Linked DNA regions of Saccharomyces cerevisiae S288C. Each later gene encodes a partner of the first gene's protein in a complex. Each region holds a gene or a part of one and is shown in the gene's direction. Other genes may lie near its edges.

Evidence for each region.
Region 2: the proteins of VID24 (region 1) and GID12 are in contact, whole or in part, in a cryo-EM structure (PDB 7WUG), measured with the Saccharomyces cerevisiae proteins. Residues at the interface, in NP_009663.1 of Saccharomyces cerevisiae: Thr130 (codon at 2,400), Gly131 (codon at 2,403), Tyr132 (codon at 2,406), Tyr137 (codon at 2,421), Lys138 (codon at 2,424), Arg139 (codon at 2,427), Gln141 (codon at 2,433), Arg170 (codon at 2,520), Gly171 (codon at 2,523), Leu172 (codon at 2,526), Thr173 (codon at 2,529), Asn174 (codon at 2,532), Gln175 (codon at 2,535), His176 (codon at 2,538), Ile221 (codon at 2,673), Asn222 (codon at 2,676), Phe223 (codon at 2,679), Pro224 (codon at 2,682), Arg227 (codon at 2,691), Gln228 (codon at 2,694), Arg286 (codon at 2,868), Thr324 (codon at 2,982), Asn326 (codon at 2,988), Gln328 (codon at 2,994), Phe330 (codon at 3,000), Lys338 (codon at 3,024), Phe339 (codon at 3,027), Gln341 (codon at 3,033), Glu343 (codon at 3,039), Leu344 (codon at 3,042); in NP_010105.1 of Saccharomyces cerevisiae: Cys14 (codon at 2,045), Asn15 (codon at 2,048), Thr16 (codon at 2,051), Lys17 (codon at 2,054), Asn48 (codon at 2,147), Asn50 (codon at 2,153), Gln52 (codon at 2,159), Asp125 (codon at 2,378), Met127 (codon at 2,384), Cys143 (codon at 2,432), Arg248 (codon at 2,747), Gly249 (codon at 2,750), Ile250 (codon at 2,753), Ser251 (codon at 2,756), Ser267 (codon at 2,804), Pro268 (codon at 2,807), Arg269 (codon at 2,810), Arg436 (codon at 3,311), Arg437 (codon at 3,314), Asn438 (codon at 3,317), Phe440 (codon at 3,323), His491 (codon at 3,476), Phe492 (codon at 3,479), Asn515 (codon at 3,548), Gly552, Asn553, Cys555, Ser556, Lys558, Thr573.
Region 3: the proteins of VID24 (region 1) and VID28 are in contact, whole or in part, in a cryo-EM structure (PDB 7WUG), measured with the Saccharomyces cerevisiae proteins. Residues at the interface, in NP_009663.1 of Saccharomyces cerevisiae: Lys92 (codon at 2,286), Lys93 (codon at 2,289), Tyr94 (codon at 2,292), Ile95 (codon at 2,295), Asp98 (codon at 2,304), Ser100 (codon at 2,310), Pro101 (codon at 2,313), Tyr102 (codon at 2,316), Ser103 (codon at 2,319), Glu105 (codon at 2,325), Asn106 (codon at 2,328), Pro107 (codon at 2,331), Val108 (codon at 2,334), Ile109 (codon at 2,337), Val110 (codon at 2,340), Thr111 (codon at 2,343), Ser113 (codon at 2,349), Tyr114 (codon at 2,352), Asn115 (codon at 2,355), Thr117 (codon at 2,361), Thr120 (codon at 2,370), Asn121 (codon at 2,373), Pro125 (codon at 2,385), Arg126 (codon at 2,388), Lys147 (codon at 2,451), Thr148 (codon at 2,454), Asp150 (codon at 2,460), Pro152 (codon at 2,466), Asp155 (codon at 2,475), Cys156 (codon at 2,478); in NP_012247.3 of Saccharomyces cerevisiae: Thr316 (codon at 2,970), Asp318 (codon at 2,976), Trp321 (codon at 2,985), Glu362 (codon at 3,108), Ile363 (codon at 3,111), Thr364 (codon at 3,114), Pro365 (codon at 3,117), Met366 (codon at 3,120), Asn367 (codon at 3,123), Asn368 (codon at 3,126), Thr372 (codon at 3,138), Ser417 (codon at 3,273), Asp418 (codon at 3,276), Glu419 (codon at 3,279), Lys420 (codon at 3,282), Leu423 (codon at 3,291), Lys485 (codon at 3,477), Ser488 (codon at 3,486), Arg489 (codon at 3,489), Val491 (codon at 3,495), Ser492 (codon at 3,498), Leu494 (codon at 3,504), Arg495 (codon at 3,507), Thr496 (codon at 3,510), Gly541, Cys544, Asn545, Val548, Phe550, Trp606.

What each region holds. Positions count from the first base shown.
Region 1 is NC_001134.8:450,360-453,981, reverse strand, and holds VID24 (glucose-induced degradation complex subunit VID24), read left to right. Parts: upstream 1-2,012; coding exon 2,013-3,101; downstream 3,102-3,622. Other genes in the region: IML3 (Iml3p), read left to right, coding at 1-189; SND3 (Snd3p), read right to left, coding at 758-1,324; YMC2 (organic acid transporter), read right to left, coding at 3,326-3,622. UniProt on the Saccharomyces cerevisiae protein: Substrate-recognition component of the GID E3 ligase complex recruiting N termini and catalyzing ubiquitination of proteins targeted for degradation.
Region 2 is NC_001136.10:140,092-143,724, forward strand, and holds the start of GID12 (Gid12p), read left to right. Parts: upstream 1-2,005; coding exon 2,006-3,633. Other genes in the region: DLD2 (D-lactate dehydrogenase), read left to right, coding at 1-1,023; YDL177C (uncharacterized protein), read right to left, coding at 1,118-1,630. UniProt on the Saccharomyces cerevisiae protein: Regulator of the GID E3 ligase complex. Modulates both assembly of the substrate receptor GID4 into the GID E3 ligase complex and its activity toward its substrates.
Region 3 is NC_001141.2:319,357-322,989, reverse strand, and holds the start of VID28 (glucose-induced degradation complex subunit VID28), read left to right. Parts: upstream 1-2,024; coding exon 2,025-3,633. Other genes in the region: aspartyl protease BAR1, read right to left, coding at 1-648; SNL1 (Snl1p), read right to left, coding at 1,057-1,536. UniProt on the Saccharomyces cerevisiae protein: Component of the GID E3 ligase complex recruiting N termini and catalyzing ubiquitination of proteins targeted for degradation.

The sequences.
Region 1 (3,622 bases):
TATAACGATGCAATTGTACCCTACATTTATAATGAAACGGGGATGGCGGTGGAAAGATTACCGTTGACTTCCGTCATATTGGCAGGGCACACGAAAATAATGAGAGAATCCATTGTCACTTCAACACGAAGTCTCAGGAACAGAGTTCTAGCAGTTGTACTCCAATCGATTCAGTTTACCAGCGAGTAACACTATAAAGAATATTCACCAAGATACAATAAAAAACCACAGCTCTACCTTTTTTGTACATATGAACCTGAAGACCTTCATGAATCATCGTCATTATCAGTAATATCCGGTTCGTCATATCTGCAATGACACCCCACAAAATCCCAGAGACATTACAATTTAGTGTAGAGATCCCGACACAACGGGCCAATGGCTGCTATGAACTAATGTTCACATAGTTTAATTTTGTTGAACTTTCAGTATATATTTGCATAAAATCATATAGACGAGCGCACTTAGCGGAAAGTGCGGCAGTCATACAAGCACGAGGAAAAAGAGGACACGACTCATTTTTCTTTACATGATAAGCCCAACAAAATGAAAACAAATAGAGTTCCTTGTTTTCATTTCATCTAATCAAGAAAAAAAAAGCAATTCTATGGCGATGTAGGAAAATAGACACAATTCGTCTAGCTTTATCTTATTTCATTCTATTTTTCTTATAACACTGCAGCAACTGCGTAGAGAAAAAAATGAATATATTTTTACATAAAAACTAGGAAAAAAAAATACTTCGCTTTTGATCGAATCATTCAGCCTTAACACCAGCGTTACCGGCTCTTTCAGCTTCTTCGATAGATTTCTTGTCGGTCTTTGGACCAGTTTGACCCATACCACCAAACAAAGATGGAGCCTTGAATGGTCTCTTCAAATCGCCGGTTGCAGGCTTACCGAAGAGGTGAATTTTCACTTCGTTGTGTTCCAAAGCGCTTTTCACTGGAGAAATGGATTGCATGAACAATGGGTTGGTGTATTTCAAGTACAAATGCATGAAACCCATCATAGCCATACCAGTGTAGATAGACTTGATAGCACTGTCTATTTCCTTCAAATCGTAGTCTCTGACGGTAGTAACTTGCAGCTTCTCACCTTCGCCGGACATAGCATTACCAGGTTCGACGTACTTCATGGTAGTCATGTCGTTTTTAGCAACAATTCTCTTTCTGGCCATTTGGTAGATGATCCAAGAGATACCGATGGAAGAACAGTATAAAATTCTAATGTACATGATGATGGTTGGGTCCTCCATGTCAATGCGACGGGAGAGTTGCATCATGACCAACATGATGATGATGTTACTGACTTGAGGATTCATGGCGGGCTGCTCGGTTCTCTTGTGCTGTGTTATACTGTTATAGTTTCTAGCTTCTAATGTAAGATAACAGTGAGCGTTCTTATATGTATATCGAATGAAAGAGCAAGGCAACTACATTTTATAAGCGTTTCGGTTTTGGCGCGTTTGGCCACCGGCCGCCAAAAAAGAAAGAAAAAGAGAAGGCAGTGGCAAACGTCGAAGATATGAAAAAAAAAAAAAAAAGAATTATGGGCGTGCGATCCGTGTAAAGTGATGTTCTTCTTCTTTCATAATTTCAGCCGTTCAGAACGATATCTAAGGCAGGCGAGGGATTATCCGATTTGTTCCGGTGACCCCTCCCCCACCCCGCGGGGCAGGCGGGTTTTAATTTTCGTTTTTTTTTTCTTTTCCGGAAAAACTCGCAGGGCAAAAGAAACGGAGGGAGGTGTGCGGCTTTCTCTAGTGTAATTGCCTGTTATAATGACAAACCGCGAGGATAATAGCGGTTTATTTCTTTTTCTGCATACCATATCATTTTCTTTTTCTGCATCTTCTACAAAAGTTGAAATTTATATATACAGTCTTTTTGACTTTCAACTCATCCCGGATTTTGGTTTTCTTCGTCTTGGAAGATTAGTTCACTTTCTTTTCTGTTCTATCATTTGTGGCGTCTTGTGCATGACACCAACACATATCGCAAGCTTGAGTCATGATCAATAATCCTAAGGTAGACAGTGTAGCGGAGAAACCCAAAGCTGTGACATCAAAGCAGTCGGAGCAAGCGGCTTCGCCAGAACCAACACCAGCCCCCCCTGTTTCTAGAAATCAGTATCCGATCACGTTCAACTTGACTTCAACCGCACCCTTTCATCTTCATGACCGTCATCGCTACTTACAAGAGCAAGATCTTTACAAGTGCGCTTCTAGGGATTCGTTGTCTTCCCTGCAGCAACTCGCCCATACACCTAATGGGTCGACAAGGAAGAAATATATTGTTGAGGACCAATCTCCCTATAGTTCGGAAAATCCAGTCATTGTGACCTCTTCCTATAACCATACGGTTTGCACAAACTACTTAAGACCAAGAATGCAGTTTACAGGGTACCAGATATCAGGATACAAACGCTATCAGGTAACAGTTAACTTAAAGACTGTAGATTTGCCAAAGAAAGATTGCACGTCGCTGTCCCCTCATTTATCTGGATTTTTGTCGATAAGAGGACTCACGAACCAACACCCGGAAATCAGTACATATTTTGAAGCCTACGCGGTAAACCACAAGGAATTAGGGTTCTTGTCCTCTAGCTGGAAAGATGAACCTGTTTTAAACGAATTCAAAGCCACAGACCAAACAGACTTAGAACACTGGATAAATTTCCCCTCCTTTAGACAGCTTTTCCTGATGAGCCAAAAAAACGGTCTCAACTCAACTGACGACAATGGCACTACAAATGCAGCCAAGAAGTTGCCTCCACAGCAGCTTCCTACTACACCAAGCGCAGACGCTGGTAACATATCAAGAATTTTTAGCCAAGAGAAACAATTTGACAACTACTTGAACGAACGGTTTATATTTATGAAATGGAAGGAAAAATTTTTGGTACCAGATGCCCTATTAATGGAAGGTGTAGACGGCGCATCTTATGATGGGTTTTATTACATTGTCCATGATCAAGTTACCGGGAACATTCAAGGGTTTTACTATCATCAAGATGCTGAAAAGTTCCAACAGCTGGAATTAGTACCATCTTTGAAAAATAAAGTCGAGTCCAGTGATTGTTCTTTTGAGTTTGCTTGATGTGTGATATATTCGTTTTTACCTGCATACCCTTTTCTCTTCACTAACTTTAGATTTTTTTTTATGCATATTCCCTCATCATATATTCTGTAACGATCGATATAATTTCTTAGTTTGACACCACATAGATGATAATCACTAAAAGACTGTACACTTTTCTATTTGGTATGATAACAGCATGTCTATGTCTATATCTATAAAACGATGTTTTCATATATACTCTCCTACTCTTCCCCCAGAAATCTCATGACTAATTCAAACGTCAGGAATGTCGCACCATTAACGGGCGCGGACCTAACCATTGTTGGCCCAAACCCTTTGAAAAAGGCTCTGATACCTTCTTTTGCATAAATGGTCTTTGCTACGTAAGAAATGGAATTCTTGTATTTAGGTTTTCGTAAATCATCGTTTTGTATAATGGATTTCACAACGTCCAATGGGTATACTGTCAACCACAACATTGTCCCGGAAAATGCACCAAATAAGCATAATTTCCAAGGAGGAATTTCGTTTCTTGTTAG
Region 2 (3,633 bases), on another chromosome or scaffold:
CCGTTGGATCTGGGAGCTAAAGGTTCCTGCCATGTTGGTGGCGTGGTTGCAACCAACGCTGGAGGACTAAGGTTATTGCGTTATGGCTCACTACATGGAAGCGTTTTAGGCTTAGAGGTGGTAATGCCCAATGGTCAAATTGTTAATAGCATGCATTCCATGAGAAAAGACAACACCGGTTATGATCTGAAACAGCTGTTCATTGGCTCAGAAGGTACTATCGGTATCATCACTGGTGTTTCAATCTTGACTGTTCCTAAGCCAAAAGCGTTTAATGTATCTTACTTGTCTGTTGAAAGTTTTGAAGACGTTCAAAAAGTCTTCGTCAGAGCCAGGCAAGAATTATCTGAGATTTTATCCGCTTTTGAATTTATGGATGCTAAATCTCAAGTATTGGCCAAGAGCCAATTGAAGGATGCTGCCTTCCCTTTGGAGGATGAGCATCCATTTTATATTCTTATCGAAACGTCAGGGTCAAACAAAGATCACGATGATTCCAAACTTGAAACATTTTTAGAAAACGTCATGGAAGAGGGCATAGTAACGGATGGTGTAGTGGCACAAGATGAAACCGAACTCCAAAACTTGTGGAAGTGGAGAGAAATGATTCCAGAGGCAAGTCAAGCTAATGGTGGTGTTTACAAATACGATGTTTCTTTACCACTAAAGGACCTATATTCTTTGGTTGAAGCCACTAATGCAAGACTTTCTGAAGCTGAATTAGTGGGTGATTCGCCCAAACCAGTGGTGGGCGCCATTGGATACGGTCACGTGGGTGATGGTAATCTACACTTAAATGTTGCAGTTAGAGAGTACAACAAGAACATTGAAAAGACTTTGGAACCATTTGTCTACGAGTTTGTTTCCTCAAAACATGGTTCCGTTAGTGCCGAACATGGGCTAGGTTTCCAAAAGAAAAATTACATTGGCTATTCTAAGAGCCCGGAAGAGGTCAAGATGATGAAGGATTTGAAGGTTCATTATGATCCTAATGGAATTTTAAACCCTTACAAATACATTTGAAAATAAAATGCCAAGTTTTATAGTTATCTACATATGTATATATTTATCAATATTATATTCTACAATTGTGTATATTATATGGTAAGGGTGATATTTAAGGAAGAAATCCACCCTTCTTTAAGGTTTCCACTGCACATGTTGAAATGTGTCTGAATCTTGATGAGCCCAAAGGCGTGCCACCATACCATCTGGTCACTATTACCAAGACGTTGAATATGTTTGCTCTTTCAAGTAAGGTCAATAAACGCTGTCCAGCACCAGCTTCGCCACAGTCAGCACATCCTTGCTCAATGTTCTTTGGCTGCACCGTTATGTTCCTTGACTTGTTAACATGACTATTATTACTCTTATTTGCTTTATTGCCCTTCTTTTTCTGCTCTTGTTGTAAGTGCAAATTATTTGATACCTCGGCCGTTCTCCAGGCATACATGTGCATGTGGGATGCCTTGGAGACGCTTTTGTTGTTTTGCGTTAGTTCTTGGAGTATGGAGGGTATATCCTTTTGATTTTGTAATGGGCAACATCTTGCTTGAAATTTCGATTTTCTATCAACTAAAACTTCTGATTCATTCCATATTTTCACTAGCTTACCAACATTCTTACTCATTTCTCCAAAAAATAGTAATACCAAACATCAATACCTATCTAAGAATCTGTATAATGTCTTTTCTAAAGGTTTTTTACAGCTGATGATTGATGCATGACTTATTTCCACAGTGCCGTATTTTCTCAGTTGCCGTTTTGGGTCTGCTTTTCACAATGCGAAGCTTTGTTGAAAAGAGCTCTAAGGTCAAAAACAATAGTAAGCTGATCGGTATTAAGTACTTGCCTTCCTGAAAATTGCTAACAAACATCCAAATATACCTTCCCCATAGTTGAATGGCATCTAATAGAACAAAACCAGGTTAAGATAGGTTTTACTTTGAGTTGTTAAATACACGCAGAAAGCGTCTTTCCACATAATCTGAACATTTTGTTATCGATGGCTACTGGCAGGATTCAATTTGCTGTTTCTACTCCCTGCAATACTAAGGGTAAACCGTCTGGTTATAGGTTATTTGAATTTAAAAACGATCGATTAGCACTGGTCCCATCAGAAAGAGGTTGTACAAAAGTAGATGTGAATGCAAATATACAAGCGTTTTGTTATTTAAGGCCTAATGGTAGAGACACGTCAATATCTCCAGACGCAACGCATATTTTGGACTCATGTGATTACATGGTGCTGGCTAAATCCAACGGATTCATTGAAATCATAAGCAACTATCAATACAAGATAAAAAATGGCCTGCGATTAGCGCCCTCTTATATCCTTAGATGTACTCCGGAAGATTTCGAATCCAATTTTTTTAGTGACTATATGATCGCTGGTCTTGAATATAGTCAAGGTTTATTATATTGTTGTATGTGCTCCGGTCGAATATATGTCTTTGTAATGAACCTTCCCACTGATTACATTCAGTATAAGAACATGTACAACCCCATGTTTCCAGATTGCTTTTTCAAAGTACATCACGATAATAATACAACACATTCTTCAGAAGAAGAAAAATTATTTGAAGGTAGTACGCGGTACACTGGAAGGTCATGCTCTAAGCATATCTGCTACTTCCTTTTGCCTATAGAACCATCCCATTTAAGATCGTCACCCGTGGTATCTTCGTTTTGCAATATGTATCAAGGCCTGCCCATATATAGGCCTTCGATGTATTTACATATAGAACGAGGTATTTCCACATTCCATATAAATCCATTAGACCGGTTTTGTTTCATGACAGTATCGCCACGATCACCACTATTTATAAGGAAAATAATTTTACCATTGACTTATGTTACATTTTTAAGCACCTTTATCAGCCTAAAGAACAGTATACAGGGAGATACATGCGGTGAGATACTTTCGTGGGACAACGTAGCGCAACAAAATGGATTTGGTTCTTTGTTCAGCTGGATTAGTAACAAGTTTACATTCGATACGGATATTATAAATTCAACCATTTGGGATGATATTGTAAAATATTCTGGAACAGGAATGCTGGATTCAGGAATCGTCTGGAAACAGCGTCAAGGTCACGCTAAAGATGACATATATGAGTTATTCCACACTCAAGATATGCTGGGAAGTAGTCGCCGAAATTCTTCATTCAGTACTGCTAGCAGCGAACCGAGACCGCTGAGTCGAAGAAGGAGAGAATCTTTTCAAGCCTTAACTAGAGACGCTTTTAGAGAAAGAATGGATGTACCCTGTTCAACGAAGTGGGAATTAGATTCTTTTATCCGAGGATTAAGAAGGAATACATTTATGGTAGATTTTGAAATTGTTGAAAAGATTTCTCATAGAAATGGAAATGATGGGGTGAATGAAGATGATAACACTACAGATGAAAGTGATGAAACAATGACTTCTTTTCTAACAGATAATTACAAAAAGATGGACATTGTGTGCATCGATCATTTCGTCACGTTGAGTGCATTCCGACCTCGGTACTATGATGAACCAATAATTAAAATCGATTCATTATCGAACAAAAATGGCTCTGAAAATGGAACTAATGAAGAAGAGTGGGCAGAAAGTCAAATGAAGGTGGATGGCCAAGTGATAGATGATGA
Region 3 (3,633 bases), on another chromosome or scaffold:
TGAGTTTAAGAACAGCGAATACGCGACCACATCGATTATTTTTTCACTTTTTAAAATCTGAGGAAAATTAGGATAATATTCATTAGGAGCACCTTCATAGCCCTTAACGGACTCTCTTCTAGGAAACCCAATTCCAAGAACACCACTAACGGGTGTCGTAGCATACTTGGCAACTCCGAACTGGATATTGGGGATGTCAATTCCATTAATTGATACAGTTTCCGTCCCCCAACTACCGTCAGCAAATGTTCCGTCAGCATATGTGATGTAAAACCTACCATTTTCCAGATATTGGTAGGTGGAAGATCTATGCTCATTATAAGTACTCATAGACCTGCAATCAATTGAAGGCTTAACTTCTTCGCCATTATAAGTTGCGTTTGAATAGGATGACGTATTTGAATTTGGTAAGCAGAAGGGATTGCTAGAATCCATAACCCAAAAATCGGCAGATCCGGTATCAAACAACACTGTCAGACTTTGGGACGGTGTACCTATATCTAAGGTTGTTGCGTAATACATCTCCTCTTCGTGTTGTAAAAGGAATTCTAAGTGACCAGTGCCATCGTTTGTTAAAGCAGTAATGGTGTTAATAATCGCGAAACTCGCCAAAATAAGTTTCAAACAAAGATGATTAATTGCAGACATTATATGACCCTTCTAGACACTCTTTTTATTTTGGTATGATTTTAGGCGATACGAACCACTAGAATTAAATCACGCGAAGATCATTAAAGAATTCATCATGACAAGGCTCGACGTGCTTTCTCTTCACTTTTATACTGTTATCAAAAAACACACACATTCAATAACTATAATGTGGTGTGTTTCAGAATAGCTGGCTGTGTATACATGTTATTGTCGCTATTATGTGACACTCGCCATGTAATTTCCTTTTACGGTAATTACATGCCATGTTTCAGCATGATGTCGGAGGTAGAAAAACAGGGACAACGCATCTCTAATATAATAAATGCAACAAATGTGTACCGTACCGGAATGAGTGCAGCCTATGAATTCGGCAAGAGCCGTTATCTATAAACTAAAAATACAAACTTATTTAAGAGAGTCCAAACTTTTTAACATAGCCTGAATTTCCTTTATGACGCCTTTCCTTTTTTCCTTCAACGGCCTTCTTAAGGACTCATCCACGTTAATCAAATCGATACTGTCTAACTCAATCAGCAACTTCAAAAGCATTTCGTTGCAATAGTTACGCTCGTAGATGTCCTTTTCATCTTCCACATCAAATCTGTTTATTAGATCCTTGCTACGACCTTCCAACTCGTTGCCGTATCTCAACGACACATTGTCAATTTGTTCTTCTAGAGTCAGAGGAACCGGCGCTTTTTCAAACTGATTCTTACCTTTCTTGTTCTTTTTAGAAGCCCTCTTTTTACTGCTTTTTCCCTTGCTGCCATTGGGTCTTCTGATTGTAACCAAAAATACAACAGCAATCACGGCCAAGAGGACGTACGTCGAGGTACTTGTTTTGCTCAGCTTGCTCTTCCAATGTTCCATTGCGTTGTGCGACATTACGGAAACGTACAATTGCCCTTCTGGTGCTATTTTTTCACCAACAAACAGGATTGAAACCAGCACTACAGAGCTGATTCCATCTTTTTTTCTACTGGTTATGTCAGTTCGCGATATTTTTTTTCAATATCGACCAAATGATAGTAAAGGCAAATTGAATTAGATGAGCACAAGTCTTCCATTTAAAAACCCCTCTAGCTATGGCTCTCCTTCAAGTCCATATGCGCTCTTGAAAAAGCATGCTTGCCGATTGAATTGCAGGTAGCATAAATGGTTTTGCTTGTGTATGAAGCTTTTGACCTTATATTCGTCATCCGTTATAAGTGATTAGACTGAAGGGGCGCGAACTAAACTAATTAGATTATAATACGTTTTATAGGGATATCACTACAAACTGCGGCCTAAGAGGATGATCTTCATGGCGGAAACTTGCAGTTTTCCTGTATCATTGCCCTCGTGTTAGATTGGTGATATATTACAGTTACACTATGACGGTGGCTTATTCCCTAGAGAATCTCAAAAAGATTAGTAATTCCCTGGTGGGAGACCAGTTGGCTAAGGTAGATTACTTTTTGGCTCCAAAGTGCCAGATTTTTCAATGTTTGTTGTCCATTGAGCAAAGTGACGGTGTAGAGTTAAAAAATGCGAAATTAGATCTGCTATATACCCTTTTACATCTAGAACCGCAACAAAGGGATATAGTAGGCACATATTACTTTGATATTGTGTCCGCAATCTATAAGTCCATGAGTTTGGCAAGCAGTTTTACTAAAAATAATTCTTCGACAAACTATAAGTACATAAAGCTTCTAAATTTGTGTGCAGGAGTTTATCCAAATTGCGGATTCCCAGACTTGCAATACCTCCAGAACGGGTTCATCCAGTTAGTCAACCATAAATTTTTGAGGAGCAAATGTAAAATTGATGAGGTGGTCACGATTATTGAATTATTGAAGTTGTTTTTACTTGTGGACGAGAAAAATTGCAGCGACTTCAACAAGAGCAAGTTTATGGAGGAAGAGAGAGAAGTGACAGAAACTTCACACTACCAAGATTTTAAAATGGCAGAATCCCTTGAACACATAATAGTTAAAATATCATCGAAGTACTTGGACCAAATAAGCCTCAAGTATATAGTGAGGCTAAAAGTATCCAGGCCAGCGTCACCATCCAGCGTCAAGAACGATCCGTTTGACAATAAAGGGGTCGACTGCACCCGTGCCATACCTAAAAAAATCAATATCTCAAACATGTATGATTCTAGTTTACTCTCATTGGCACTCCTTCTATATCTAAGATATCATTATATGATACCGGGTGATAGGAAACTGCGGAATGATGCGACGTTCAAGATGTTCGTTCTGGGTCTTTTGAAGAGTAATGACGTTAACATTAGGTGCGTGGCCCTGAAGTTTTTGTTACAACCGTACTTTACAGAGGATAAGAAATGGGAAGATACGCGTACACTCGAGAAAATACTACCCTATTTAGTTAAGTCATTTAATTATGACCCGTTGCCTTGGTGGTTTGATCCATTCGATATGCTGGATTCATTGATTGTGTTGTATAATGAAATTACTCCAATGAATAATCCTGTGCTCACCACGCTAGCTCATACAAACGTTATATTTTGCATTCTATCCCGTTTTGCGCAGTGTCTTTCTCTACCACAACACAATGAAGCTACTTTGAAAACAACTACAAAATTCATTAAAATATGTGCGTCATTTGCAGCATCGGACGAAAAATACCGTCTTTTACTGTTGAATGACACATTGTTGTTGAATCATTTAGAATACGGGTTGGAATCCCACATTACTTTGATACAGGATTTTATATCTTTGAAAGATGAGATAAAGGAAACAACTACGGAAAGTCATTCTATGTGTTTACCCCCAATATATGATCACGATTTCGTGGCAGCTTGGTTACTATTGTTGAAATCATTCTCGAGAAGTGTTTCAGCGCTTAGGACGACGTTGAAGAGAAATAAAATTGCACAGCTGCTTTTACAGATACTAAGTAAAACATATACGTTGACCAAGGAATGCTATTTTGCTGGACAAGATTTTATGAAACCGGAAATTATGATTATGG